7 linked regions of the Tribolium castaneum genome follow. The protein of the gene in region 3 interacts with the protein of the main gene of each other region in a biochemical or structural test. Links are inferred from orthologs where the notes say so. Each region holds a gene or a part of one and is shown on either strand. Other genes may lie near its edges. The genes, in order: eukaryotic translation initiation factor 4B, protein dj-1beta, park, elgi, Ubc7, ubiquitin-conjugating enzyme E2 J1 and ubiquitin-conjugating enzyme E2 G1.

Evidence for each region.
Region 1: of the proteins of park (region 3) and eukaryotic translation initiation factor 4B, one has a biochemical effect on the other in vitro, tested with the Homo sapiens proteins (2 studies listed by BioGRID). The link is inferred for Tribolium castaneum from reciprocal best matches to the Homo sapiens genes PRKN and EIF4B.
Region 2: the proteins of park (region 3) and protein dj-1beta form a complex in vitro, tested with the Homo sapiens proteins (2 studies listed by BioGRID, with this or other methods). The link is inferred for Tribolium castaneum from reciprocal best matches to the Homo sapiens genes PRKN and PARK7.
Region 4: the proteins of park (region 3) and elgi form a complex in vitro, tested with the Homo sapiens proteins (2 studies listed by BioGRID, with this or other methods). The link is inferred for Tribolium castaneum from reciprocal best matches to the Homo sapiens genes PRKN and RNF41.
Region 5: the proteins of park (region 3) and Ubc7 form a complex in vitro, tested with the Homo sapiens proteins (6 studies listed by BioGRID). The link is inferred for Tribolium castaneum from reciprocal best matches to the Homo sapiens genes PRKN and UBE2G2.
Region 6: the proteins of park (region 3) and ubiquitin-conjugating enzyme E2 J1 form a complex in vitro, tested with the Homo sapiens proteins (4 studies listed by BioGRID). The link is inferred for Tribolium castaneum from reciprocal best matches to the Homo sapiens genes PRKN and UBE2J1.
Region 7: the proteins of park (region 3) and ubiquitin-conjugating enzyme E2 G1 form a complex in vitro, tested with the Homo sapiens proteins (5 studies listed by BioGRID). The link is inferred for Tribolium castaneum from reciprocal best matches to the Homo sapiens genes PRKN and UBE2G1.

Annotation. Positions count from the first base shown.
Region 1 is NC_087400.1:562,330-566,562, forward strand, and holds the start of eukaryotic translation initiation factor 4B, read right to left. Parts: upstream 2,801-4,233; 5' UTR 2,653-2,800; coding exon 2,643-2,652; intron 2,523-2,642; coding exon 2,388-2,522; intron 2,198-2,387; coding exon 2,016-2,197; intron 1,716-2,015; coding exon 1,593-1,715; intron 1,514-1,592; coding exon 1,315-1,513; intron 1-1,314. UniProt on the Homo sapiens protein: Required for the binding of mRNA to ribosomes. Functions in close association with EIF4-F and EIF4-A. Binds near the 5'-terminal cap of mRNA in presence of EIF-4F and ATP.
Region 2 is NC_087401.1:11,635,873-11,638,686, reverse strand, and holds protein dj-1beta, read right to left. Parts: upstream 1,620-2,814; 5' UTR 1,597-1,619; coding exon 1,429-1,596; intron 1,378-1,428; coding exon 1,152-1,377; intron 801-1,151; coding exon 553-800; 3' UTR 511-552; downstream 1-510. Other genes in the region: thioredoxin-related transmembrane protein 2 homolog, read left to right, coding at 32-510; uncharacterized protein pasi2, read left to right, coding at 1,905-2,102, 2,158-2,287, 2,336-2,430. UniProt on the Homo sapiens protein: Multifunctional protein with controversial molecular function which plays an important role in cell protection against oxidative stress and cell death acting as oxidative stress sensor and redox-sensitive chaperone and protease.
Region 3 is NC_087398.1:11,672,335-11,676,391, forward strand, and holds the start of park (E3 ubiquitin-protein ligase parkin), read right to left. Parts: upstream 2,801-4,057; coding exon 2,540-2,800; intron 2,491-2,539; coding exon 2,125-2,490; intron 1-2,124. Other genes in the region: protein FAM32A, read left to right, coding at 2,939-3,148, 3,203-3,325; alpha-1,3/1,6-mannosyltransferase ALG2, read right to left, coding at 3,335-4,057. UniProt on the Homo sapiens protein: Functions within a multiprotein E3 ubiquitin ligase complex, catalyzing the covalent attachment of ubiquitin moieties onto substrate proteins. Substrates include SYT11 and VDAC1.
Region 4 is NC_087394.1:31,074,009-31,078,263, forward strand, and holds elgi (E3 ubiquitin-protein ligase NRDP1), read left to right. Parts: upstream 1-1,455; coding exon 1,456-1,736; intron 1,737-1,786; coding exon 1,787-2,231; intron 2,232-2,277; coding exon 2,278-2,547; 3' UTR 2,548-4,061; downstream 4,062-4,255. Other genes in the region: THUMP domain-containing protein 1 homolog, read right to left, coding at 377-1,132; uncharacterized protein LOC103312325, read right to left, coding at 4,062-4,255. UniProt on the Homo sapiens protein: Acts as E3 ubiquitin-protein ligase and regulates the degradation of target proteins. Polyubiquitinates MYD88. Negatively regulates MYD88-dependent production of pro-inflammatory cytokines.
Region 5 is NC_087394.1:30,806,899-30,809,587, forward strand, and holds Ubc7 (ubiquitin-conjugating enzyme E2 G2), read right to left. Parts: upstream 1,542-2,689; 5' UTR 1,422-1,541; coding exon 1,379-1,421; intron 1,328-1,378; coding exon 1,246-1,327; intron 1,202-1,245; coding exon 1,083-1,201; intron 1,034-1,082; coding exon 893-1,033; intron 847-892; coding exon 728-846; 3' UTR 501-727; downstream 1-500. Other genes in the region: uncharacterized protein LOC662537, read left to right, coding at 1-233. UniProt on the Homo sapiens protein: Accepts ubiquitin from the E1 complex and catalyzes its covalent attachment to other proteins. In vitro catalyzes 'Lys-48'-linked polyubiquitination. Involved in endoplasmic reticulum-associated degradation (ERAD).
Region 6 is NC_087394.1:12,101,754-12,105,775, reverse strand, and holds the start of ubiquitin-conjugating enzyme E2 J1, read right to left. Parts: upstream 2,801-4,022; 5' UTR 2,704-2,800; coding exon 2,667-2,703; intron 2,616-2,666; coding exon 2,410-2,615; intron 2,356-2,409; coding exon 2,047-2,355; intron 1-2,046. UniProt on the Homo sapiens protein: Catalyzes the covalent attachment of ubiquitin to other proteins. Functions in the selective degradation of misfolded membrane proteins from the endoplasmic reticulum (ERAD) and is essential for cells to recover from ER stress.
Region 7 is NC_087401.1:11,951,521-11,954,888, reverse strand, and holds ubiquitin-conjugating enzyme E2 G1, read right to left. Parts: upstream 2,189-3,368; 5' UTR 2,006-2,188; coding exon of another isoform or gene 1,996-2,005; 5' UTR 1,964-1,995; intron 1,910-1,963; 5' UTR 1,888-1,909; coding exon 1,842-1,887; intron 1,469-1,841; coding exon 1,366-1,468; intron 1,311-1,365; coding exon 1,213-1,310; intron 1,164-1,212; coding exon 985-1,163; intron 935-984; coding exon 857-934; 3' UTR 501-856; downstream 1-500. UniProt on the Homo sapiens protein: Accepts ubiquitin from the E1 complex and catalyzes its covalent attachment to other proteins. In vitro catalyzes 'Lys-48'-, as well as 'Lys-63'-linked polyubiquitination. May be involved in degradation of muscle-specific proteins.

The sequences.
Region 1 (4,233 bases), on a different chromosome or scaffold from region 3:
TCACGAAATTTAAAATTTTCAATTTTTTTGCTAAAATTTCCTGAGTAATAATACACTTAACTTCAAAGAGGCGAAAAAAAAAATTTTTAAACTCACTCTAGTAAATTTTTATGGACTTCTACATGTCTTAACAACCCACAAAAGTTGTTTTTAGTCCACAAAAAGTCCATATGTTCGATTTTTTGATGTTTGATTTTTTCAATTTTCGTCGCAGTTTTTGTCGATTTTGGGTACCCGGAACTTTTGTCAAGCAATAGCTCCGGAACTATCAGAGATAACCCCATGAAGTGTATTATCGTTGGAAAGCTCTTTAAATTATCTATCTTTTTCAAAAAAAATTATTGTTCTCCGACTAATAGTTTTCGAGCAAATTGGAGACAAATGCAAAAATTGGGAAAATTTTAAAAAATTCATAACTAAAAAACTATTGGGAATTTGGCAATTTTCTCGATGCCAATCGATTCCCCGGATCATTTTGCATAGGAATGGATCAAAATAGTTCCACTTTTTCGAATAGTTTAGCCAAAAATGAGAAAATAAAAAAAATTAAAAAAAAGTTAACACCCCCCCCTTAAAATCGGTCAATTTTTAAAGTGTCTCTAAATCAAATAAAACCGATTCTATCTTATAGATTTTGATGTGCTCTTTCCAATCTAAAAAAGCATTTTCTCCTAACTCTTTTAGTTTGGCCGTAATCGGCGTTTGAAAATTGAAAATTTTTTTGCGAGATATCGCCTTGAGTCCTATGCCATTTTGTAGAGTTTTTTATTCCGGTTGTCCTCCATTTTTCCGTTTCTCGATAACTCTAATAGTTTCGCCGTAATTAGCGGTTGAAAATTGAAAAAAAGTGAAAATGGAAACCTTTTTTTGCGTTTTTCTCGGAAACTGTAAGACTTAGAGCAACGAACAAAAAAATATCTGATAGCGCTTAATTTTAGCTATTGTTTCGACCAAACCCGGAGCCGCTCCGGGCAACGGTTCCGGCTACAGAGGCGATCAAAGTTTTTCACTAAAAAAATTCATAAAAAAAAAACTAAAATTCGTAGAGCAATGCGGTTTGTTCGGTTGAATTCTACGGCTCATTTTACATAATATATCAATTTTTCACACGAATTAAAAATTTAAAAATTTTTGCCTAAATTTAGGGTGGCCATTTGTCATAGTGAAAAATTTTATTCATTAAAAAAATTCATAACTCGAAAACTAAAAGTCGTAGAGCAATGCGCTTTGTTCCATTGAATTCAGCGGCTCATTTTCTGTATTATGTAGTATACCTACTGTACTATTAAAACAAATAACAAAATATAAACCAACCATCACGCTCTCTATCTCTGCTGAATCCTCTCCGCTCCATGTCTGAATTTTCCTGTCTTGGACCCGATCTCCAGTCCCCAAATGACGACATGTCACTTCTTCCACCACGATCTCGGTTCATGTCCATACGGCCACCTCTTCTTTTGTCATTGTCGTAATCTGTGGCGACGTCGATTCGTATCCGTCTATTCTTGATTGTCTATTTTTTGTGTTTTGATTTTTATTTCAATATTTTTTTTATTCGAATTTTTATTTATTTATTTTTTTGATTTACTTACAGTATCGGGAATAACCAAGGCATTTAATAAACTTTCTCTATCTTCGAATTCTACGTAACCGAAACCTTTTAATCGGGGCGCTTCGCCGGGTCTTTCGTCTTTAGGGATTCGCATGTGCGAAATCTGAAACAAAGGTTATTTTAAATTCAAAGCAAAATCTTACTTAGTTGAAAAAAACATTAAAAAAATTATTATTATTATTATTAAAATCGCACAATAATCGGAAATCTGTCAAGTCAAGATTTCCAAAAATCGAAATTTTGCCATTTAGAGTCCCTTTATTGGACAATATAGGAACTCTACTGCCACCTATTGGTGAAAAAAAGTATCAACCATGTCTATAACAATAGTTTAGTTTAAATTATGTATTTTTAAATTTTTAAAGACCTAGTTCAGGGAGGCTTTTCTGTTTATTATTTTTACCTTCATGTTCTTGAAAAACGCCGCAATTTCGCTCTCGTCGACATCATACGGCAGATTGGTCAGATATGCGATAAATGGGGGCTCCTGTGGAACTTTATCAATAATATCGTCAAAGTCCCGCGACGCCTTGGGCGCTGTGGGCAACACAACACTTGCTTTGGCCGAGCGTGGGTCATACACATCTGAAACCGTAAAGGTCAATTATCTGGATCAAACCTTGAGGCTAAAAACGAATTTTGACACCCGAAAAACAAGCCATTCCCACTTCAGATTGAATTATTAATAGAATTTCAAACAAACGGCAACCATCGCGCACAGATCGATCGCCAAAATGCTTCCACATGCACAGCTTAGAGGTTAAGTACACTCTACCATGATTATCCTCCACTTCGTCGGCCCAATTCATCGTCGACTTCCTTATGGGCATGGTGGCCACAGGGCCGGGCGTCTCCTGCAGGAAGTCGCTCAACGCCAGCGTTTTGCCTTTGTTCTTTTTGCCCTTTTTGCCTGGAATTCGGAAAATTTCAGCGTACAATAAGGTCGCCACTACACGCGGTCTGCACGGGATTCGCGCTCCCAGCGCGTTCCCAAAGGCGGGACAAGGGGGAACATGTTGGGGAAACTTACCTGAAGCCATTGCTAGTATTTACAATAACAATAAACAGTTTTTTAACAATTTCAAATTTAATTTATTGTAAAAGCACTGTCACTGACGTACTAGACGTAGAAAATGTCAGATTCTTGACATGTCAACGGACGCAGGGTGGGGGCCACGACAGCGCCAAGTTCAAATTATATCCAATAATCGGCAAAAAATAATCACAAAACGACTTGTAGTCCAAAATTTCGGGTTAAAATTGTGTAAACACCCGAATAAAAACACTTGGTTAAACATTTTATGGCAATAATTCACCTAAAACGCAAATACTTTCAGTTCAAAAGTCGGCGAATTAGCTCGAGAAAAAATTTTCTTCCACTTTTTTTTCAATTTAATTCTCTAATTTTTTACCAGATTTCGTCAAAAGATACGGGGCGTATAAGTTGATTCTACAATTTTAAAATTGTTTTTACCTTTTTTGTGACTTTCAGCACGTTTTTGACCGAAAATGGACATAATTTCTCTAAAAATCACCAAATTTATGTATTTTCTAGTCAAAAATATTGGACGTGCGCAAATCCTGCTGGATTCGCAGTGGCCATGATTTTTATTAACAATGTTTTTCAATGTTTTTTCGTTTATTTTTTTATAATTTAAGAAGTAAGTCATCTAAGGATTCAACGCGAAAGTTTGAAGTTATGTTTGACCTTTACGTTTATCTCTTTTTCTCTCAAAACAAAAGTATTTTCCCTTTATTATAATGTGCTCTTACGTTTACAATTTGGCGCCTTTACGTACTTACCTTTTGCCGCATTATTTTCTTATTTCTGTCAGTTTTATGCTCCGCTTTACGTTTAAACGTCTATGTGTTCTCTCATTTTCTTATTTTTGCTTACGTGTTGTTTCCTTACCTTTTCCAAACTTTTTTTCATAGAAAAATTTTTACTCTGATCCGAGTTCGAACCCCGACCTCCTGCGTCGTAAGTGGCGCTTATACCACTAGGCCACCAAGGCCCTAGGTCCTGACCGTGTTTTGCAGATATTTTAACACAAACTTTTTGAATAAATCAACATTACAAACTATATAATTGCAATAATTTACCTAAAACGCAAATACTTTCGGTTCAAAAGTCGGCGAATTAGCTCGAGAAAACATTTTCTTCCACTTTTTTTCAATTTAATTCTCTAATTTTTTACCAGATTTCATCAAAAGATACCGGGCGTATAAGTTGATTCTACAATTTTAAAATTGTTTTCATCTTTTTTGTGACTTTGAGCACGTTTTTGACCGAAAATGGACATAATTTTTCCAAAAATCACCAAATTTATGTATTTTCTAGTCAAAAATATTGGACGTGCGCAAATCCTACTGGATTCGCAGTGGCCATGATTTTTATTAACAATGTTTTTCGGGACTTTACTAAACAATCTCAGTTAACTAAAAATTTTTAGACATAAATTAAATGTTTTCGTTTATTTTTTTATAATTTAAGAAGTAAGTCATCTAAGGATTCAACGCTAAAGTTTGAAGTTATGTTTCATCTTTACGTTCATCTCTTTTTCTCACAAAACAAAAGTATTTTCCTTTATTATGATGTGCTCTTACGTTTACAATTTGAC
Region 2 (2,814 bases), on a different chromosome or scaffold from region 3:
ATAATTGTCGCATTTAATTGGGTGATTTCAGTGGGGGCGTTGCTATTTCCCGAGCCCACGTATTCCGGCCCTGACAATGTCATTTATTTCCGGGGCATGCAAGGCTTGGACGAGGAATTGGCACGTAGTCGGGACGGCTATTGGTTGGTCACGTTTTACACCGTCTGGAACCCGGCTTGTGTGAACTTCGCCCCGGTTTTCGCAAAACTGAGCACCGAATATCACTTGGAGAATTTCAAGTTTGGGAAAATCGACGTGGGGCGATACCCCGATGCCGCACAGAAATATCGCGTGAATGACAGCAGTTTAAGTAAGCAGTTACCCACGACAATTCTGTTTAAAGAAGGGAAAGAAGTGGTGCGGAGGCCGGCTATTGACTCAAAAGGCAACATTTTGAAATTCTTTTTCTCGAGTGAGAACGTTAAAGGGGCTTTCGATCTCAATAACTTGTACGAAGAGTGCAAGAGCGCGCTTAAGAATAATAAGAACAAACACGTGAAGAACGACTAATTATTGTTATTTATTTGTTTCTAGTGCCATAGTAATAAATTGTTAATACGACAAAAGCATGGCTTTGGCCACTTCTGCCGCCTTGTCCTTTCCGACAAGTTTGTCCACTAGGGTTAGGGCGAAGACGAAGGCAGTGCCAGGCCCTTGACTTGTAACCAGAGTCCCATCAACCACAACTGGCTCCTTTTTGTATTTATATTGACCACCTTCGAGCATTTGCGCCTCCATGGCTGGGTACGACGTCACAGTCTTGCCCACATAAACCCCATGGGCCTTCAAGGCCGTGGGCGCTACAACCCCATAATTTTAACATAGGCAACCAATTATACAGGTGACACAGGGCTGTGTAACTTTGCTATTTGAAATATTGCTATGCTGTTTTCATTATCCGATAGATCGACTTAAAATCCACAAACTAAAAATATTTTTATTATACACAGGGTGTTGTATAACGGAATTATTCAACTTCTGGTTATAAAAAAGACCAATTTTTGAAAAATCATAACGAAGTCGCCTATGAATATTTTCCGCCAAATTTGCAATAGAAAAATTCTGAATACCTTGTAGTTTTATCAAATAGATTACACACCCTTGGGTCACCCTGTATAATTAAGGAAATTTCACAGTAAATTATTACAAACCGGCACAAATCGCCCCCGTGAGTCGCCCCGCCGCCTCCTGCTCCCGAATCAACTCCCCTACTTCTTTAGACGCGGCCAAAGCCTTCGCCCCTCCTAGCCCCCCAGGTAAGACAATTGCGTCAAAGGGGCCTTTGGCCTCACAGATTGAAATGTCAGGTTTAATGTTGACACCGCGGCTGCACTTGATGATGTTGGCGTCCGGTAGGCCTGCAACTGTTACTTCCACCTAAAAATAACAGGAAAAATTTGTGTTTTTTTTTAGTAGGGGTTAATTTACACCGCCTCTGCGAAGTACGTCAATTGCGATTACAGCCTCCATTTCTTCAGCGCCTCCGGCGAGGAAAACAAGGGCTTTTGTGCTCATATTCGAAATAAAACGCACCGCTAATCCTAACCTATTAAAGCGAGTGAGCGGAGCCCTAAAACTTTGACATATGACTGACATTGGAGTAGGTCATGCCAGTTTGGGGATTTTGTTCGCGTTAGGTTGTTCAACAAAATTGCATATTTTGCAAAAAATAAAATTGGAAATAAATACACGTAATTCCCCTTGTGTCCGTACTCCCTAAATTAATGTCATAATGACTGATTTTGTTTAATTACGGTAATTACATCCTTGTAATTAACACACCTAGTTAGTTGGTGTTGCAAGGTTGGCGGCGGAATTTGACGTTTGCCACACCTATTTGTTTACCTACCCAAATGTGTCATACCTTTATTTATTGATTTAATTGTTAAAAAATACATAAAAACATGAATTACGGCAAGAAATCGCCAACGACTGGCACCCCCTCGGTGTACTCACACGTCACAACACGCAGCAGTGCGAATTTGCGAAGTAGCCGAAGTATAAAATCGTTGAAAATCCCTTGGTACAGAAAACCAATCATAACCGAATCTTATATTTTGGACGTCCAGAGATCCTCCCTATTAATCGGAGTGTTTTCTTTGGTATGTTACGCCCCCTTTGTTTAAATATCACATTTTCATAAATTTCATGTTTTAGCTGTTGTCCATCTTCACAGTTATCACAAGTTGCTTCGATCTCTACTGCTACTCAATGGCAGTCCCAGGGTCCGTCCACACCGGCTATTACGTTATTTCCTACCAGTTTATTTACGTGGGAAACCGTCACGGTAAGCCCACCATTTAATCGCCCATTTGTCCTCAATTTGTTGTTTTAGTCCGCAATACTCTTGTAATGTTTGCTGCTTTTTCCATTCTTCTGGCAATTGGTGTGTTTGTGACCAGCATTATGCTTATAATTGCTCTCCGGAAGGTAAAACTACAAAACTTTGATTTGTTGTTGTTGGTACTTGTTGTGGTGGTGGATAGGTGGCGCTAAATGTAACGAGTCACGAATATCATACGTACGGGCCAGGATATAAACGAAAGGCTGATTTTCAAACATCACTCTGGTTTCCCTTCAGTGCGAATAAATCTTTCGCCTTTTACTAAAGATTTCCGTGGAGGGGAACAATTCAAATGAGTCTATGAAAATTTCTTGATTGCCCGGCGAAAGCTGGGCGCCTGATTTAATTAAAGCAATATTTTCCATGTTACTTTTAAGTAAGTGGTTTTTTAATTGTATTATAATATCCACTTTTGCGCACTCTTATAACTAAGTTTGTACAACGACATGTACTATTATAGATTATACGGA
Region 3 (4,057 bases):
ATCATAGTCGTTCTTAATTTGTGTTTTAAGAGCAAGCTAAACTAAAATATTTCTAGCGAAGGTCGTTAAATCGATCAAGTATTTTCTGTTACCAAACGAAACTGTCTATCTTTGCTTTTGTACGCATCTCACGCACAAACAAAATATTATTGTAGCGCTTTAGTAGATTCCCGTTGAATACATTTTTATCTCAAAAAAGGTAATATTAAAAGAATTAAAAATTAAATTTACCTACTTATGTGCTACCTACTAGTAATTTCTATTGACACTTAATTAAAAGAAATGATTTAAGACAGGTACAAAGATAGAAAAAAAAGCAGGTAAAAAAGGAGAATTGAAAAGTTATGGTAATCCAATTGTCTTTGTTTATAATTTATTATTAATATTGTAATCTAATAAAAAATCTAAACTATTATTCTTGTGTGTCGTTTTGATTATGGAGCGATTCTTACTTATTTTTACATAATTTTCTCTTCCTTATACAGCGTTCAAAATGATGTTGCCAAACTTTACGGTGTTATAGAGGTCACTAAGATAGAAATGTTTTGCTGATAAACGCTGATAAATGAGCCGTTTTGCCTCTAGAGTCATGTCTTTGTCCAGAAATGATTACATTCAAAAATTCCCATAAAACTTACGTTTCATAACGTTATTTCAATAAATTGTCAAAATACCACTGCCTTATTTCATGTCAGTTTGCTCTACTTGCGTTAATGTTTGATAAAAAAGTATTTTAAACATGTATACATTTGTCAGAAAATAACAACAAACATCTATTTTTATTTTTTTTGAATATTGATTAATTTTTCCGGCGCATCCACCATTTTTTTAATTTGCAGTTTGTTAATAGTAAATTGTTTTACACTTGTTTTTCTTATATTTTCTGTACACTTGTACATTTTTGACTAAAGTTATTCAAAGTAGTATTTGGAAATGTTTAATTTGATAATTTCTCCCGGCGCATCCACCATTTTTAAAACGCTGTCTTGTTCACTTTAAGACACCAACTGGTGTCAAAAGGCGGTGGTGTGTGCATGTGTTGTTGTCATTAAGTCATTGTTAATTCCATCTTTTAATGTTTACTTCCAAGAATTTGAACGAGTAAAAAGCCTGATGATGTTTATTACATTAACTTTTAACTAAACTTTTTAAGGAACTTGGTCTTATCGTCGTGAATTTTTTTAAAATCAATCAGTCAAGGACGTTTAAAAAATTTTTATTATAACAATTTTTACACAATACTAGAGATTTCATCATTTCAATTTGAAACAGTTGTAAAATTTGGATTTTTTCAAGTCACAAGACATTCTACTTTGAAGCAGATTTTTTTTAAATAATTATTTCTTTTCAGTCCTATAACTCGCTTACGGGTAGTCCTATAACAAAAGTGCATAGGACCAATTTTTGTAGGAAATTTCATCAGCTTTAATTTTTGTAAGAAGGTGAAAACCGACAATGATTGTTTCCGTGGTATAAGAAATAAAACGAAAAATGACACACTTAACCCTCTCCCCCATCTCGAGCTCAGCCTCCATCCTCTGGGATTTTTAATATCTGTCTATCTAAAGAACGCGTTTAAAAAATTCCAACTCACTAGGAATTTTTGCCACCAACCGCCCAATTCTTGTCTGGTCTAACTTGACTGGGCTAGATACCTGATTTATAGCTGGAACACATTTTCTAAAAATGTTATAGAGACCCTCAGTAGTAACCCAAATTTCAAATTTAGATTTACATTCAATAAATTTGGTAACTGTAGAAAATTTTAACTTTATGATAGAAAAAGAAATTTAAAAAAGTATCTGAAAATATTTTGGCGTATATTGTTTTTAATTGTCTTCAGCGACTTTTAGTTTTTAAAATTAACATTGATTTCCCTGTACCAGAATTTCGGTTTAGCTCGCTCTTATGGTGTTAATGAATCTGCTGCTTCTAGTTAGGTGAGCGGACATTACGATTGCAAACATTTTAAAAATTTTCGCAATGCTCCTTAGTAAGCGTAAATATTTTTAACTTTAAATATTTTGACTATAAACATTTTAAAGGAAAATTAAATTTTGTCCAGTACTATTTTTAGTGTGGAGTGTTTTTGACTAATTTCAATTAAATAATTAAAAAACGTACGTTGGCGCACAATTCGGGGCTATTCTCACAAAGGCCGGTTATCTGCTTTGGCTGCAGCACATCATTCCAGTTTTGGGGGTCTGAGTGCACCGTGAAAGCCCCCGATTTGCAAAAGTGGCACCGAACTCGCAATTTCCCATTTTTGAGGGCTTTACACGTGGGGCAATAGACAAAAAAGTGGACTTTGCGTTGCTCGGTGGGCCCTTCCTCGTAATCATCGTTTGAAAAACTCAAATCTGATAAGGTCTCACACAGAGGTTTGCCCTCGTCACTTTCCTCAATTACGGCATTGTTTAAAGTGGGAGGGTTGGGCTTTTTGGTGATTTTGATAGCGTGGAGGGTGCTTTGTTGGCCCAAATCACATTCCTAGAATGACTAACTGGTTACGACTAGTGGTATTGAGGGCAAAACTCACAGAAATACTAATGTTGTCTCCCAGCTCTTTTCCAGCGAAAATAATCTTTACCTCGCCTGGTTTCAGTCCCAATTGGGGCGCAACGAACTCTTTCACCTCTTTTATGTCCCAGGTGGGGTCCAAATCGACCGAAAGCGTATTCCCTGTGTTGGTTTTTATGTAAATACTCAAATTATTGCTCAGCGTTTTTCTACTAAATGACAGAAATTGTAACATCTTATGCAACAAATCTTTAATTACGTTGATAATAAAACTCATCATCTGTGGTAACCGCGGCCGGGCTTATTTTTAGAAAAAAACATTTTTTGTGAGGAAATTTCATAACCTCATTCTTGGGGATTGTCGATCCGTTACGTTGGTTGTTGTGTGAAAAATTCCAGAAACGTCAAAACAAACAAGATGGGGCAAAGTGACGACCCATACGCACAAGTTTGCAAGGGAAAATTGCAATTAAAAGGTGATAACAGCATTAAAAAGAAAAAGAAGAAGAAAGATAAGAAGTTGTTAGAGCAAGTGAGCAAAATTGTCGAAAGTGAGACACCGGAATCAAAGCCTGCGAGGCAAAAAACAAAAGCCGAACTTGCGTTCTTAAAACAGCAAGAAAAAATGGTAAATAAATCACATTTCGTGTTAAATTTGTTGCCTGATTGTTACAATTTGCAGCAAACTCAACGCATCTTGGAAAAAGCGTCAATGACACACAAAGAAAGAGTAGAAAAATTCAACCAACACTTGGACGGGCTCACGGAACACTTTGACATACCTAAGGTCTCTTGGACTAAGTAAAATATTTATTTAAATAAACTTCTTATTTACACTAGTGTGATCAAGGATTTTCTTCAAATTCCTTGCAAAACTCTCATTTGAGAATTTCTCCTGCAACACTTTGCGCCCCTTGAGCCCCATTGCCTTGTTATCCGACTTGAATATCCTGTACATGAATTGCGCTAAACTGTCGGGGGTCGGTTCGCATAAATAGCCCGTGTTTCCGTGGTCGACTGTCTCTCGGGGGCCCCCACTGTTGCACGCAATGACGGGCTTAGCCACCGTCATTGCCTCGAGGGGGACAATGCCGAAGTGCTCCTTCACGGGCGTGTAAACGAGGCAGTCACACGCCATCAGAAGTTCCGTCTTGACGTCATCGGGGGGCGACTTGAGGAAAATAATCTTGTCTTGGAGCCCCTTCTCAGCGACGAGTTTCTCCAAGTCGGTGAAATAACTGGCGTTTATGGACGATTGGGGGTCGTAGCCCCCGGCCATAACCAAGAAAATGCCTTTACGTTCATTTTCCGAGGTGATTCTTTGCAAAATTTCCATCGCATTGATGGCCAAGTCCAGTTTCTTGGCGGGATGGAAGCGGTTGATGGAGAGGAAGACACAGGCGGCGTTTTGGGGTATTTCTGGGATTATTTGGTGGATTGGTCTGGGGTTTTTGGTGTTTTTGACGGCTTCTAAGAACGAGGAGGCCACTGTGGGGTACACCACTTGTACAGTCTTTGTGATTTGGGGGAAAGTCTC
Region 4 (4,255 bases), on a different chromosome or scaffold from region 3:
GTAATAAAGTAGCGATAGTATAATTAACAATGAAATCTTTTAGGAAGTGGTATTTGTTTCATTTTTTTGAGCTTAATGTTCACAGTGCATTTAAAATACTGTATTTTTTCTATTTCTTTTCCTATTTGTACAAAGATTTATTTACCATTAAGCATAAAGATATTAAACTTTTACCATATATTACTTTAATGTTTATTAACTTCTTGAAATTGACGAATGTTTTGAATTTTATGATGCAACTTTGAAATTTTAAACAATGGTAATAGTCAAACCTACACTATGTGTACTCATGTTGTAGCAATGCAACCATGTATCTGTTCTAGAACAAAACTTTGGAAATAAAATTTTTATATTAATAGAAAATTTTATTGCAACATTAATTACAATCAGCTACTTGTTCTTGACTACAAAGTGACAATAAATTATACTTTTTGTGCTTAAGATAGTCAGGTATAACACTTAAAAACGCAAACCCCTTTATCACTTCAACAATAATAGCCACTTTTGCCTCTTTAAGATCAACTTTATGATCAGGCCTCAGCTCGGACACTTTCGCTGCAATTAATTTTATGACTTCATCCCGCGAAACAACATTATTATTCCGGTGGTTGAAGATCACACAAAACGTTTGCGGGGACTCCACAAAGTGTTTCTGGGCGAGGGGCACAAATGCGTTGACAATATCACTCACATTCGCCTTGCACGTAATTTCCACAGGAATCAGTCTCAGCAAAAATTTCGTTCTTTGGGTCTTACTCCCATCAACATCTTTTATAATCGCCTCTGCTAGCTCAACCGGATTCTCCAAACTCGTCCTAATGAATAGGAAATTTTTGGCACCAGATTCTATAACCTGGAATCGTTTTTCACTCTTGTCTTGCTTCAGTTCGGATATTTCTTTAGCCAACGAGTCGTCAATGTCTTGCTCAGCTTCAGGTTCGTTGCTCTCTTGGTACAATTTGTCAGCATATTCGTTTAGTAAATTGTAAGATTCCTTAATGCAGTCCTTTTCCCTGTTGTTACAACTGCAGAGGAAGCCCCGCAAGTTCACGTCCAAGCTCAGTCTTTTGTTGGAAGTTTTTTTAAAGTAGTATTTTTTGGATTTTTGTTTGGAAACAACTGGCTTACTCATGACTACGACCCCTACAAAACTATGTTGTAATATACAATTCACCAAATAAATCGATATGTGACCACTGTTCTTTGTTAATAACACGTATTAATCCAATATTTTTTTATTTGTAAGCATAAAAAGTTAAAATAAATACGCACTTAAAAATTAGGTTAGCTGAAACATCACGCCTGACCAACCTAACAGACAAAACTTCCTAAATTTTTTGTTTCTGTGTCAGACATTTTGTTGATGGGTGACATTTGTCACATATGATTTTACAATTTATAAATAAATCGCAGTGCTAAAATCCGTGCAAATTGTGATGGGTCGTTACTGTTAAAATGGGCTTTGATATTAATAGGTTTCAAGGAGATGTAGATGAGGAATTGGTGTGCCCCATTTGTTCGGGAGTACTGGAGGACCCCTTGCAGGTGTGTTTACTTATTTTTTTAATGGAAAAAGTCTTACTGGTTTTGCAGGCACCTGTGTGCGAGCATGCATTTTGCAAGTCCTGCATAACCGAATGGATCACAAGACAGCCCACATGCCCCGTGGACCGACAAAGTGTCACATCAGCGCAACTGCGCCCAGTGCCCCGAATTTTACGAAACTTGCTTTCTAGGTAATCAAAAAGTCTGAAATGAAACCGTTCGATTCAATATTTTGTTCCAGACTGTGTATAAATTGTGATAACGCTCAGTATGGCTGTACGCGTGTATTAAAATTAGACTCTCTCTCGAACCACCTTGAAGAATGCGAACATAATCCTAAGAGACCTTTACCGTGTGAGAAGGGCTGTGGTTTAGTGATTCCTAAAGATGAGTTGAAAGACCACAATTGCGTGAAAGAACTGCGAGCGCTGATACAGACCCAGCAGCAGAAAATGAACGACTTCCAGCAGGAAATCACCGAGCAGCGCTTCCTAATCAACGAGCAAAAGCGCGAAATGCAGCTGCTGAAGGAGTTCATGAGGGCCATGAGGATATCGAACCCTTCAATGAGGGCAATAGCTGATGCAATGGAGAGAGATGAAGTCTTAAGGTGGAGCAACTTTCTCCAAAGGGCGCGAGTCACCCGATGGGGAGGGATGATCTCGACACCAGATGAAGTTCTTCAAGTAGGTTCAATCAACAAGTGGCGAAATTTTCATAATTTCCTTCCAGAGAATGATTAGAAGGACGTTAACTGAGATGGGGTGCCCCAACCACATATTAGACGATCTAATGGAAAATTGTCACGAGAGGAGGTGGCCCCCCGGCTTGAGCTCGCTGGAGACCAGGCAAAACAATAGGAGACAATACGAAAACTATGTTTGTAAAAGAGTACCGGGCAAGCAGGCTGTGCTGGTACTGGCGTGCGACAATACGCATATGGGCGAAGACATGATGGTAGAGCCAGGTTTAGTTATGATTTTTGCTCACGGTATAGAGTAACCCTCTTTGTTTTTATTTTTTTTAATTACATTCCTTTTAAATACATTAATTTACATTAAGTTTAATCATAATCTTTCTCACTGCTTTATTATAAAATCTGGGGTCTGTAAGTGCCACAAATTGTTCCGTTCTGGTGGTGATGCAGTCAATTTTATCAATTAGAATTCGTAAAATTAGAAAATTGACAGGAAGTGCACTAATGATACAGGATTATTCAGCTTGAACAAATTAACTGTTTTGTAACTTACTGCAATGTGCCATTATTCATGAACCAAAAGTAAATTAAGGCTGTGGTCTACTTTATTAAAACATTTTCACCCGTTTACGTATAAATAGCTTTAATGGGTCATTTAAACACCGGTAAAAATGAAACTAATTCGCCGCTTGAGGGGCTTTAAACGTCGTTTGTAGAAAATTTAATTCTCTTCAACTGTTTTTGTTACGTTTTTCTTGTGTTTTTGATTGTATTCGCATGTAAATTATAAATTTAATAAATTATTCATGCACTTTAAAAAATAATAATAATGTAATTTATACTTTCAATGAGAGATCTAACCATTAATAATTATTGACTGTGTCTAAACTCCCGGGAGCGTCACGAATATTGAAAGTGACGTCATCAACGACCAGGATTTTTAATTGTTTTATTGATTTTTTGTATTTTACACATAATTTTTGTTGTAAATATTATAGCAATCCTTAAATTTTCCAATTGGAGGAGAAGCCAATCAGTCAAGTCTTTAATAACGATTGCAAGGCCAAATTTAAAAAATACTTACATTTTATTTTTTATTACACAAAAAGTTTGTGTCTTCGAGCATCATATATATATGATGAGTGCCTATAATAATAGGGAGAATTTTTTTGCAGACCAGTGTTATTGAACTTACTTTTTGCAATCAAGAAATTATTATAAACGTTGACTGCATCATCAATTTTGTTCCAGAACGTGTTCATTTGTCGATTTTATAATGCGTAAAGTCATCAATAATTCCTGCCGCCAGGATAATTGATTACTTTTGCATTTTCAAAGAATTTGCTGTTAATATTGATTTTTCAACAATAACGGAAACGCTGACGCAGACTTGAATGTTGGTGGATGTGCGGTTTTCCCGTTTTGTTTCGTTTTAGTTATGTATAGTTTAATGATCTGACATTTGATCTCAAAAATTCACAACAAAGTCGTTCCTACATCCGATCGGATTTGGTCTGACATAACACTAGTCACGTCAGAAATGTGATTTAATTTCTAAATTTTTTGAATGGAGGTATGGAAATATCAAACACTAAATTCTACTCGAAGCTCCCCTACGTTTTGAGGACTAGCAAAGGAACTCAAAGAGCTAAATACATTTGTGTAGCTTCTTGCAGTTAATTTTTGTTAGGGTTTTGGGGGGTGCGATGTTTATTTATTTTGTAATGTGATTAATATTGAGGCTTAAATGTACTTAACTTCTGTTGGGCATTTTGTAGTTCTTATGTGCTGCCAATTCTTGTAATAAACAAGTAAATTTTTATATGTTAATGTGATTACGACCCCGTTTGTAAAAGTAAAACACGAATTCGGACACGAGAAATAATAACGCGATTAAAACACCGCCTAAAAACAGTAAAATTGCGGATCCTACGTGTTCACGACCGGCACTTGAATACCCAGGATTCAAGTTGAGAGTTGAAACAGGCCGTAAATTTGATTTGAGAATTTTTT
Region 5 (2,689 bases), on a different chromosome or scaffold from region 3:
TCCCCAGTCTTCCATTGCCGAGGAGAATGATCGACTACTTGAACACTCCGCATTATTATTCAGAGCATCTGATAGATGTAGAAGATACAAGTAATGAACAAGTCCCTCCTAGAATCCCTACTCCAGCGATACGACGCGATTATCAGGAAGAAGAAGTCCAAGCACCTATCGTTTCCAACATACCTCTGAACAATTACATTGTTTTGAATAACACAAATCCTCGGCAGTCCTGAGGTTTTCACTTTCTTTTTCATATTTATAGTTATTTATTTTGTTGTTTTGTTAAATTTGTGCAATTAACTTTCAGACCAAAGTTTTAATGTGATTTTAGTATTGTTATGCTTGGAAAGTCAGCTGTAGTTTTTAAGCCAATAACTTATTTATAAGGAAGCAAACGCACATGATAGTAGTTAAGCCAGAAAATAACGTATTTCTTATTAGGTTGTGAATATGTTAGTCACAAAACGGGGTTTTGCGCTAGACAAGACTAAGACTCCTGATGTGAATGGATGCTGCTGTATTTATTTCAATAGCTTAGGTTCCTAACAGACTAAGTTTATGGTTTAACTGTTGTTCAGAAATAATATATTGAAATAAATTTTTTTCTCACTTTAGCGCGGTAACAAGCCAGGCCCTTAGTCTTGAACTTTAAAACTAAACTTTAATCCCCATAAATTATTAAAATTGTAACAAACAGACGTAACTCTCAGTTAAAATTTGTAAAAATTCACGTAGGAATCCCAAGCGTTCGCCTTACAATCCGCTCCGCTATTCTGTTAAATTCCTCCCTATTTTCCCGCCACATTTTCGCAGCATCAACATTTGCTCCACTCTCATCATTAGGTTCTAAAAATCATGTTGAATTTTGTTACTGTTTTGTGAAGAAACGTACCTGCAAGCATGCTGACAACTGAGAGAAGAATTTTTTCAACACTCTGTACAGGAGACCATCTCTCAGCACTTGACTCATAGCCCATAGGGTCATCTCCAGGGGCGTGCAAAATGGAAATACATACTCGCCCATCAGCATAAACTAAAATCTGCTGATTCATCTCCTGTTACAAAAACCCTAATATACTTACTATTAGGGTGAAACATTTCGCAGGTGAACTGCATTTTAGGAGGGCTTAAGGGATAGTCCGGGGGGAAAATGAGTTTAGCTGGGAAAACACCGCCCTCAAAACATGTCCCCTCAGGGCCACTAAAAACCCGTCATATGAAAGTTTCCCTACAAAGACAACTTACGTTATCAACGCTTCCCACTCGAAGAAATTTTCTTCGTTTATTGGACCAGCAATGATACCTTCTGGGGGGTTCAGAGTCAGTTCTAGAAACATAAAACGAATGCAAATAGTTTGAGGTTAGGCTTGCATCTTACGCTTGTACTCGGCCATAAGGCGTCTTAGAGCTGAGCCTGCCATTTTTTATCAATATTTGAACAATATGAGCACCCAAAAATGTGCATTGAATGAATTTAATTATTCTTTATAATATTTTACGTGAGCGTTTGTCAATTCTTAAAAAAAAGTGCACTGCAATCACCAACTCCATCGAACAGCTATAGATCAGACTCAGTAGATGGTACTTTGACAATTTACAGGTTACTATAAGAGCGTAGTTTTGCAGTCATTGCTTAGATGTCACTACCTTAGATTTTATTATTTTTAAATGTTTTATAGATCTCTATAAAAGGTACTTTAAGATTTGACACCCAAATGTCACTACCTACAATTTAAAAAAAAATAGTTTAAGACGTTTTAAAGTTTAAGTTTGAGGCACTTTCTGTTATGTTAGCAACTTGAGATTTTACATGTTTACATAACTTTTGGAGCACTATTACGTCATGTACTTCGATTCCCGATTAAAAAATGTGCAGTGCTACCTCGGTTCCTGATTGAGATACGGGAACGGGACCTATCCCATTCGATAGCCCAGGAAAAATACTACGGCTCAGTAGGGTTTTCACCGCCCCTCTATCTCTAACAGGAACGAAGATATTTCGCATTTTGTGAATTTCAGATTTTCTTCAGTTTTTATAAAAAAATTTGTGAGTGCTAGAAAATTTATGTGAAATTCTGCAAAATTTTAAAAATGGATTTCGTATCAGGATCATAGGAACGCAAAGAGGCCACGAAATTTTTAGCGGCGTTTACATGCAACCAGTTATACATCTGCGTGTATTTTAAGTTATTTATAATTTCTCATTACCCTTTTGCGTTCCTGTGATCCTGATACGAAATCCATTTTTAAAATTTTGCTGAATTTTACTAAAATTTTATTTCATTATCAAAATTTTTATAAAAATTGAAGAAAATCTGCAATTTACAAAATGCGAAATATCTTCGTTTCTGTTGGAGATAGAGGGGTGGTTCTGTCCTTTTGAAAACCCTACCGCCCCGTAGTATTTTTCCTGGGCTATCGAATGGAATAGGTCCCGTTCCCGTATCTCCCTCAGGAACCGAGATAGCACTGCACATTTTTAAATCAGGAATCGAAGTACATGACGTAATTGTGCTCCAAAAGTTACGTGTGCATGTAAAATCTCAAGTTGCTACGACAACAGGAAGTGCCCCAAAATTAACTCGTAAAATATGTTCCAAACAAATCGCATTAAATAAAGACTTTCAACAAAAAAGCCTAAATTTTTTATTAGAGTTTTTTTTCAACCTGTTTTGTTTATTGGCTTTCG
Region 6 (4,022 bases), on a different chromosome or scaffold from region 3:
TATTCTTGTTGAAAATAGAATCACATGTCTATAACCTCTTTGCCCAGTCAATAAAACAATCAAGAATAATACAGGGTGTAACGAAAAGATGACAAAAAGGAACGAGAGACTCCGCAGGTCAAAAATCAAAATAAAGCGATTTAACCAAAGTTACACTGTTTAAAAGTTCAAAAATTATTTTGGTTTTTCTTCACAACTTACTTTTTTAAATGAAATTTGATACACGTAACTTGCGTGATATTTCATTTGTTTACTATTGTAAAGTACTTACTTATAACCAATTTTATATATCTGAAGCCATATTTTTCTTATATGTTCATTCTTTTATACCCATTTTTTTATTTGAAAGATCCATTATTTTTGAACAATTTCTGTGTCTTATAAAATCTAATATATCTTATTAATTTTCCAAAACAACAGTGTAGACATTAATTAGTTGTTTTAGATAAGTTCACAACCACTTCACAACTGTGTGGAAAATGCCTTTTTTTGTTTAAATTAATAACTAATTAATTATTTACATAATAAACATAAACATAAATAAATAATTAACATAAACTTACATAAAGAAGCTAAAACATAAGTAATGCAAAACCGTATCATTTTTCAAAAAAATCCCCCAACACGTCCAATTTAATTTAGAATAGTTATGAATGCTTAGATCTCTCATAAAGTAATTGAATAATTTATAATAGCTAATTTTGAGAGAAAATACGATTTTGGTGTTTTTATAGTTTTTTATAGGTAATATATTTCTGACTTCCTGGTAAGTATAAAAAAATTTAAGAGAAAGAAAAATAAAGACTGAACCAAAAGTCATGCATAAAAATCGTATCTTTGTTTTGAATCATTTTTCAAAAAAATCCTCAAACACGCGTTTTTATTTCTTTAAATGCTACATTTTGACATCATATTGATATTTCTGACATCATTCTTTTTTGAGTAACGACGTCATTTTTAATTTTTTTAAATGACAACTGATATTTTTGATTGGTGTTTTAGATAGTATACATTTCTATCTTTCTGATAAGTATAAAACAATTAAAAAGAAAGAAGAAAATAAAATAAAAAAGTTATAAAAGTTAGTGAGAGTATTACACAAAAAGCTTTATCTTCTCGTTCTTATTATTCTTATTTTTTTGTGTAAAGTCTTCCTATTAGTTCTTAAGTATTTTCATGATAATTATAAAAAAATATAAAAAACAATTGCCGCTTATAAAATAAATCGAGAACAAAGAAATAAAGCTCATTATGTTTAATTTTTAATTTTGTTTTTTATTATCAGCTAGATTATAACTGACATTTTTGTTTACTGTTTTAGAAAAAGCACATCTTTACTTTCTAAAACAGTGAACAAAAATGTCAGTTGTCATTAAAAAAAAATTAAGAATTATGTCACAACTCAAAAACGAATGACATCATAAATATAATATAATCAAAATGTAGCATTTAAAAAAATTAAATCGACCTGTTTTTTTTTTAATGACATAACAAAGATATAAATTTTGTACGCTACTTTTGGGTCAGTCTTTGTATTAGATGGCAACCTTAGAAATTACTTAAATTATTTTTGTACTCAAAAACCAATGCTGATACAAAAAATTATGAGATATAAAAATTGTTCAGAAATAACGTACCTTTCGTTAAAATAAGATTTACACCACTCGTATACCATATAACAAAAATATGTCCTTAAAAATGTTAAATTGTTGATAAGAAAATACCTTAAAACAACAGAAATGACACATAAACATGTGGTTTTGATAGCAAATTACTTTTTAGATATTACGCGAAAGAACTGCGTTTCGGACTGAAAAACATGTTGAAACACACAAAAACATAAAAACATGGTAAAAACCATCCCTATTCGCTGGTAAAAACTATAAGTCTTTTGAAATTATTTGCAGATTTTTCAGTACGATTAAAAAATAGTTTTTAAATCCCAAAAGCCTATTTTTTTAAATATAGTTTACAGATTTAAAAAAATATAAATACTCGCGTTTTCTTTTGCGAAAAAGTCTTCAATTAAAAAAATTATTTACTCACCTTGAGAGCAATCTGCTGGATAAGGGAAGCCTCTTCCTGAGTAATATTTGACGATTTTGACTGCGAAGAAAGCGTCTCTGCAATTTTACCGCAAATTTGACACTCCCAATTGATGGATTTCTTTGCTAAAATCTGTCTTTCTTCTGGGGTGTAGTCCAAGGAACCAATCGTGCCGGCTGCAGGAGTCGGCATGAAAGCAATTAAAGCCAACAAGGCTGTTCTTATCGACCACGACGGTTGCCAGCTCTCCGGGTGATGTCCAGAGATAGACAAGCAAATTTTTTTGTTCACCTCGAAGCGCCCATTTGGCTACGAGTTTGCAGAATGAAATAACAATGAACAATTATTACAAAATTGACTCACTGTTAACAAAATAATATTGGGGGGCTGCATGGGATACTGTGAGGGTAAAAGAATACGTCCGTGGTAGAAACCGCCCTCAAACTCCGTGCTAGGGGGGCCTCGCACTGTGAAATGCCATTCAAACAAGTTGTCTTCCAACGGATGGGCGAAATATTCTTCTGTGGGTTCGGCCAGTTCTCGCGCTTCGCGCATGAGACGTTTCACCCCTGTTTACATTGGAAATTTGTCGAGAATCACTTAAATATCCGATTTCTTACCTGGGCTTTTTAGGTTATACTTATTTTCTAACGACATGCTTTGGTAGGTCTCAATCACTAATAAACTGAACGTTTGTACTAAAAGTAAGGATAAAGACAACACTAATTTTGTACAGAAATATTTAAGAAGTGCCGAAACGGGTACAAAAACTTGTCATGTTTCTTGTTTAGGCGAACTGTCAAAACAATCAGCTGATTCTGCAAATTACAAACGTGGACTTTCAACAGCAGAAACGTTGTGGCTCGTTGAGATTGGTGAAACGTCTATCAGGAATTTAAAAGGTAGGTAATTTGTAGATAAGTGGTTATTTTTCAGTTTTATTTAACGTGAGTCGTCAGTAGTTTAAAATGATTGAGGTTAGAAAAAACAATACCACTTTCAACTCTGTATATTTCGTTAGAGCTGGCTTAGATATACAGATTATAGAGTGAACTAAACAAAATCACCCAATTGCAAATACAAGGTGTTTCACGTAATTTTACGAGGCCTGCGACTGTAATAAAATCACTTAGATCTGGGTGTTTAGTGCCTAGGTACTGTTAGGTTGGTAGTATTTCAGCACTACAGTAATTCCCCGCCGATTTTGCACCTGTCATGTTCTGTGGTGTTGTCAAATCCGAAGTAAAAACGTGTTGTGCTAAAGATTTATTATTAATTTCGTTTAAAAACGTTTGTTATGTGTTCATAATCGTTTTTGGTTTGTGTTCTACTAATTATTTAGTGTTGATAGTGGATTTGTTTCTGGTCGCTTGAAGACATTCACTAGACGAAGGGTTTACAATTTTTCTCAGGTAAATGTAAATATTCGTAGTTGATTATTAATAGGCGCTTAATCCAAAATATTGTGATTCATCAAAACGAAAAATAAAACTTTTTAAAGGAAAAATTAAAATTTGGTCCGATACTACTTGAATCACGGAGTGTTAGTAACTTGTTTTTCACTTAATTATTGGATAGAAATAGTATAACAAACCATAGGTATCGAAAAAAATTAGGGGAAAACCCTAAACAACAGATTAGATCCATCTGGTATGAGGATTTTTTTTCTAAAAGATATCTCCTACCATAATTCGGTGTCACTGTGACTTTTAATGATCGAGGCAAAAAAATGTATTAGCAACATTGAGTTATTGGCCTCCCTGCTAGCTTTTTGTATGGAGCTGTTTCATCTGACAGTCATAAGTTTACAAATTCGTTATCAACTTGACCACAAAAGTCACAATCATTAACAGTTGCTCGGTATAATATGTGAAAATTGCCAAAATTTTTCTCTAGGTCAAACTTACGAAAAGTGGTAGTCAGTTTTTTGTATTAGATTATGTAAAATTGCAAATTAAAGTTTTGTATACAAACCA
Region 7 (3,368 bases), on a different chromosome or scaffold from region 3:
TAATACGCACAAATGATTAGAGATATTGTTATTTGTTTAACTTTAGTTAAAACTAAAATAAATTACATCAAAGCAGTACAAATGAATGTATTTTGCAAGCAATAAGAAAAAATATAATGTATGAATATGTAAAATTGTACTATTCATTTGTGTGTAGTTTATTTAAAGACCAATTTACAACAGGTTTAATGCAATGGAATAATTCTGAACTTTAAGTGCGATTTTTTCAGAATCCTCTCACTAGCAATATGAAATAAAGTCGATTTCATTTACAGGATTTTTTGTATTGCTGAGATTTGTGAAAATTCTGTAAATGAAGCAACTTTGGCCTAAGGTAGAGAGGACGTGGAGTCGAATCAAGTCAATTAAAAATTAATTTTGCAAGTAAATGGTGTGAAAAACTCACCGTTTCGGGCGCTGCACTATTTGAAGGCTGTTTGACGGGACGCATTCTTGCCAACTCGGGATTTTAGGTAAATGTCCAATTATTAATAACGATAGATTTATTAATAAAATTTACTTAACTTATGATTCCTACAGTGTTACAGTTGAAATTTACATAAACTAATAGCAGTTACAAGTAGTGTTTTCGACAAATGTCTTAAGTATTACAATTAAGACAACATTTGAATCTTGACGATCGCTTTTCGTTTTACAATACCACATTCACGCTGAAAACTTGAATTAGACCCACAGAAATTTGAATGATATTATTTTATTGAAAAGAAAAATCCGACTCTCTTTGAGATCGTGAAAAAAAATTAAGAAAAAAGCAACGGACTCGATTCCAGGTAATATAAAAAATGCGAATTTTTCAATTAAGAATCAAACCGTTTTGTGAAATTGGTTTAATGTACTAACATTCCTCTTGGGACTTTCGGACACATCGTGCTACTTTTCGTTTGAATTCGCCGTACATTTCCCGCCACTCTTTCTGGAATTCCCCAATTAGTCAAGTGATACACACGCTATTTTTTCTCTTACCGCAGCATCGACATTCGCAGGTGATTCATCGTTTGGGTCGGCTAACATTGAAATAACGGATATTAAAATAGTCTCTACAGTATGAACTGGCAGCCACCTTTCTGACGCTTTTTCATAACCGAACTTATCATCCCCTGGCTCGTGTAGGATTGATATACACACGTCGCCATTTTTATCGACTAAAATGACACTCAATTAATTCTGTGAGCCCCCCTGGGGGTTGCTTACTGTTAGGGTGCCATATTTCTGTCACGAATTTCATTTTGGGCGGCCTGAGTGGATATTCTTTGGGGAAATAGAGGTGGCATTTGAAGAAACCTCCTTCGCTGCAACACATTCGCGTTCCTAACCTCAAATTTTTTTAACGATTAAAAAACTTACTAAAGCGTGTCCGGAGGGCCGATTATTAGCACTTCCCATCTATAAATGTCATTATCGTCGATTAGCCCAGCAGAAAAGCCCTCGACGGGGTTTTTGTTCAATTCTGGAAACAAACCAAAACTTCATTATTAAAATAACACGACCTTAAGGTCATCGCTCGTACGAGCGACTTTCACGAATTTTTCATGAAATGAGGGATGCAAATGTCAGAGATTTTTTGACAGTTGGGGTTAGAATCGTGGGGGCCCCCCGTGTTTGAGGGGTTAGGTGCGTCGGTTGGGGTGTATTCGCCGACAGGGGGCCCCAAGTTTCGGGGGTGGGTGGCTGCATGTGGCCGGGGTCGTGTCGGGTTGAAATTTTGGGGTTATAATTGATCGTTTTGTGGATTTCGGGCCGAGTTTGGTGTCGATGGCATCGTATTTCTTTGTGCTTTGTCGGCGATGAAAGAATGAATTTAAATCGTTTTCGTGACTCACCTGCTAGCTGTTTTCTTAGTAGAAGGGCTGACTGTGGTTCTGACATTAATTACAAACTTAATTTAGAGCTAAAATTAAGAAACAAACACAGTTTTCTGGGAAAAGATGGCCGGTGTTACTACCAAATAGGACCGCATTGGATCATTTGAGTCACCTAAAAACATATGGTATGTTGGTGTTGGTTTGCGTCCGGGGTTGGATTATGGCCGACGGGTGCTAGTCTCGGGTGGAAGGGAAGAAATCTACGCCCGGTTGCGGGAAATTTGAAGTGTGCGACTTTTGAAAAGAGAGTTTTGGAGTTTACGAGAATTTTACGATTTTCGACGAATTTTGACGCATGACAAATAAAATAGGTTGCTTTAGTTTCAAAAGGGTCTGTCTATTTTGCTGACCAAATAATTATTAAACAGTAGTAGTTTTTAATTTTGAAGATAGAAGAGTTGAAGAGGCATTATTGTGAATATTCAGCTCTTGAATAATTTGAATAATAATAATAATAATAATAATTTGAATAATAAGTTATTTTTTTCTATTGTTTCTTGTTGTGTTTTTCCTTACCTTGTATTTATTACGGCTAAAGTATAAACTTGGCTAGCTTGTAAACTAGCCAAAGCATTGGTCAGTGTTACGGCTAATGTGTAAACTTGGCTAGTTTGTAAACTAACTGGTTAGTTTGTAGACTAACTGGTTAGCTTATAAACTAGCTGGTTAGTTTGTAAACTAACTGGCTAGTTTGTAAACTAACTGGTTAGTTTGTAAATTAGTTGGTTAGTTTGTAAACTAGCCAAAGCATTGGCCAGTGTTACGGCTAATGTATAAACTTGGCTAGTTTGTAAACTAGCCAAACCGTTGGCTATTTTAATAGAAAATGCAATTTTAACTAAAATAGCGGCTAGTATGTAGAGTACCTACAGTCCTCGGCTAATTTACTTGAAAGATAAAATGGAATTTTATGTTCGCATTTTATTAATTGTAAGTCCGAGTTGTCAGAAGGTTGGTAAGTTGGGTGGTTTAAAAACAAGATAAAATATCCATTGTTTTAATTAGTTTATATAACAAGATTTCATAACTTCAATTTATTCACATAAGTTAGCCCAGTGAGTTGGTTAGTTTGTCAACTAGCTAAAAAATTGTATAACTTGTGTTACCAGAAAATACGGTTTTAATAGTAACCAGAGAAAGTCTTGTAAAATTTATAAACCATTTTATCTGTCAAGTAAATTAGCCAAGGTTATTAGCTAGTTTGTAAACTAGCCGCTATTTTATTTGAAAGTGCGTTTTATGTTAAAATAGCTAATGCTTTGGCTAGTTTACAAACTTAACAGCTAGTTTACACATTAGTCGTAACATAATCATATAAATTTTTATTGAAACAAATTTTTAACAAAACTTTTTTAACAATTTTTTCACGAATCAAAGTTGAGTGTTATCAAGAGAACGTCTTGGATGATCACAGATTTAGATTTGTTGTAAAAAAGTGCCCCAAGAATGTCCTACTTCGTCTAGTTCTTTTGGCTTTCGCTTTAA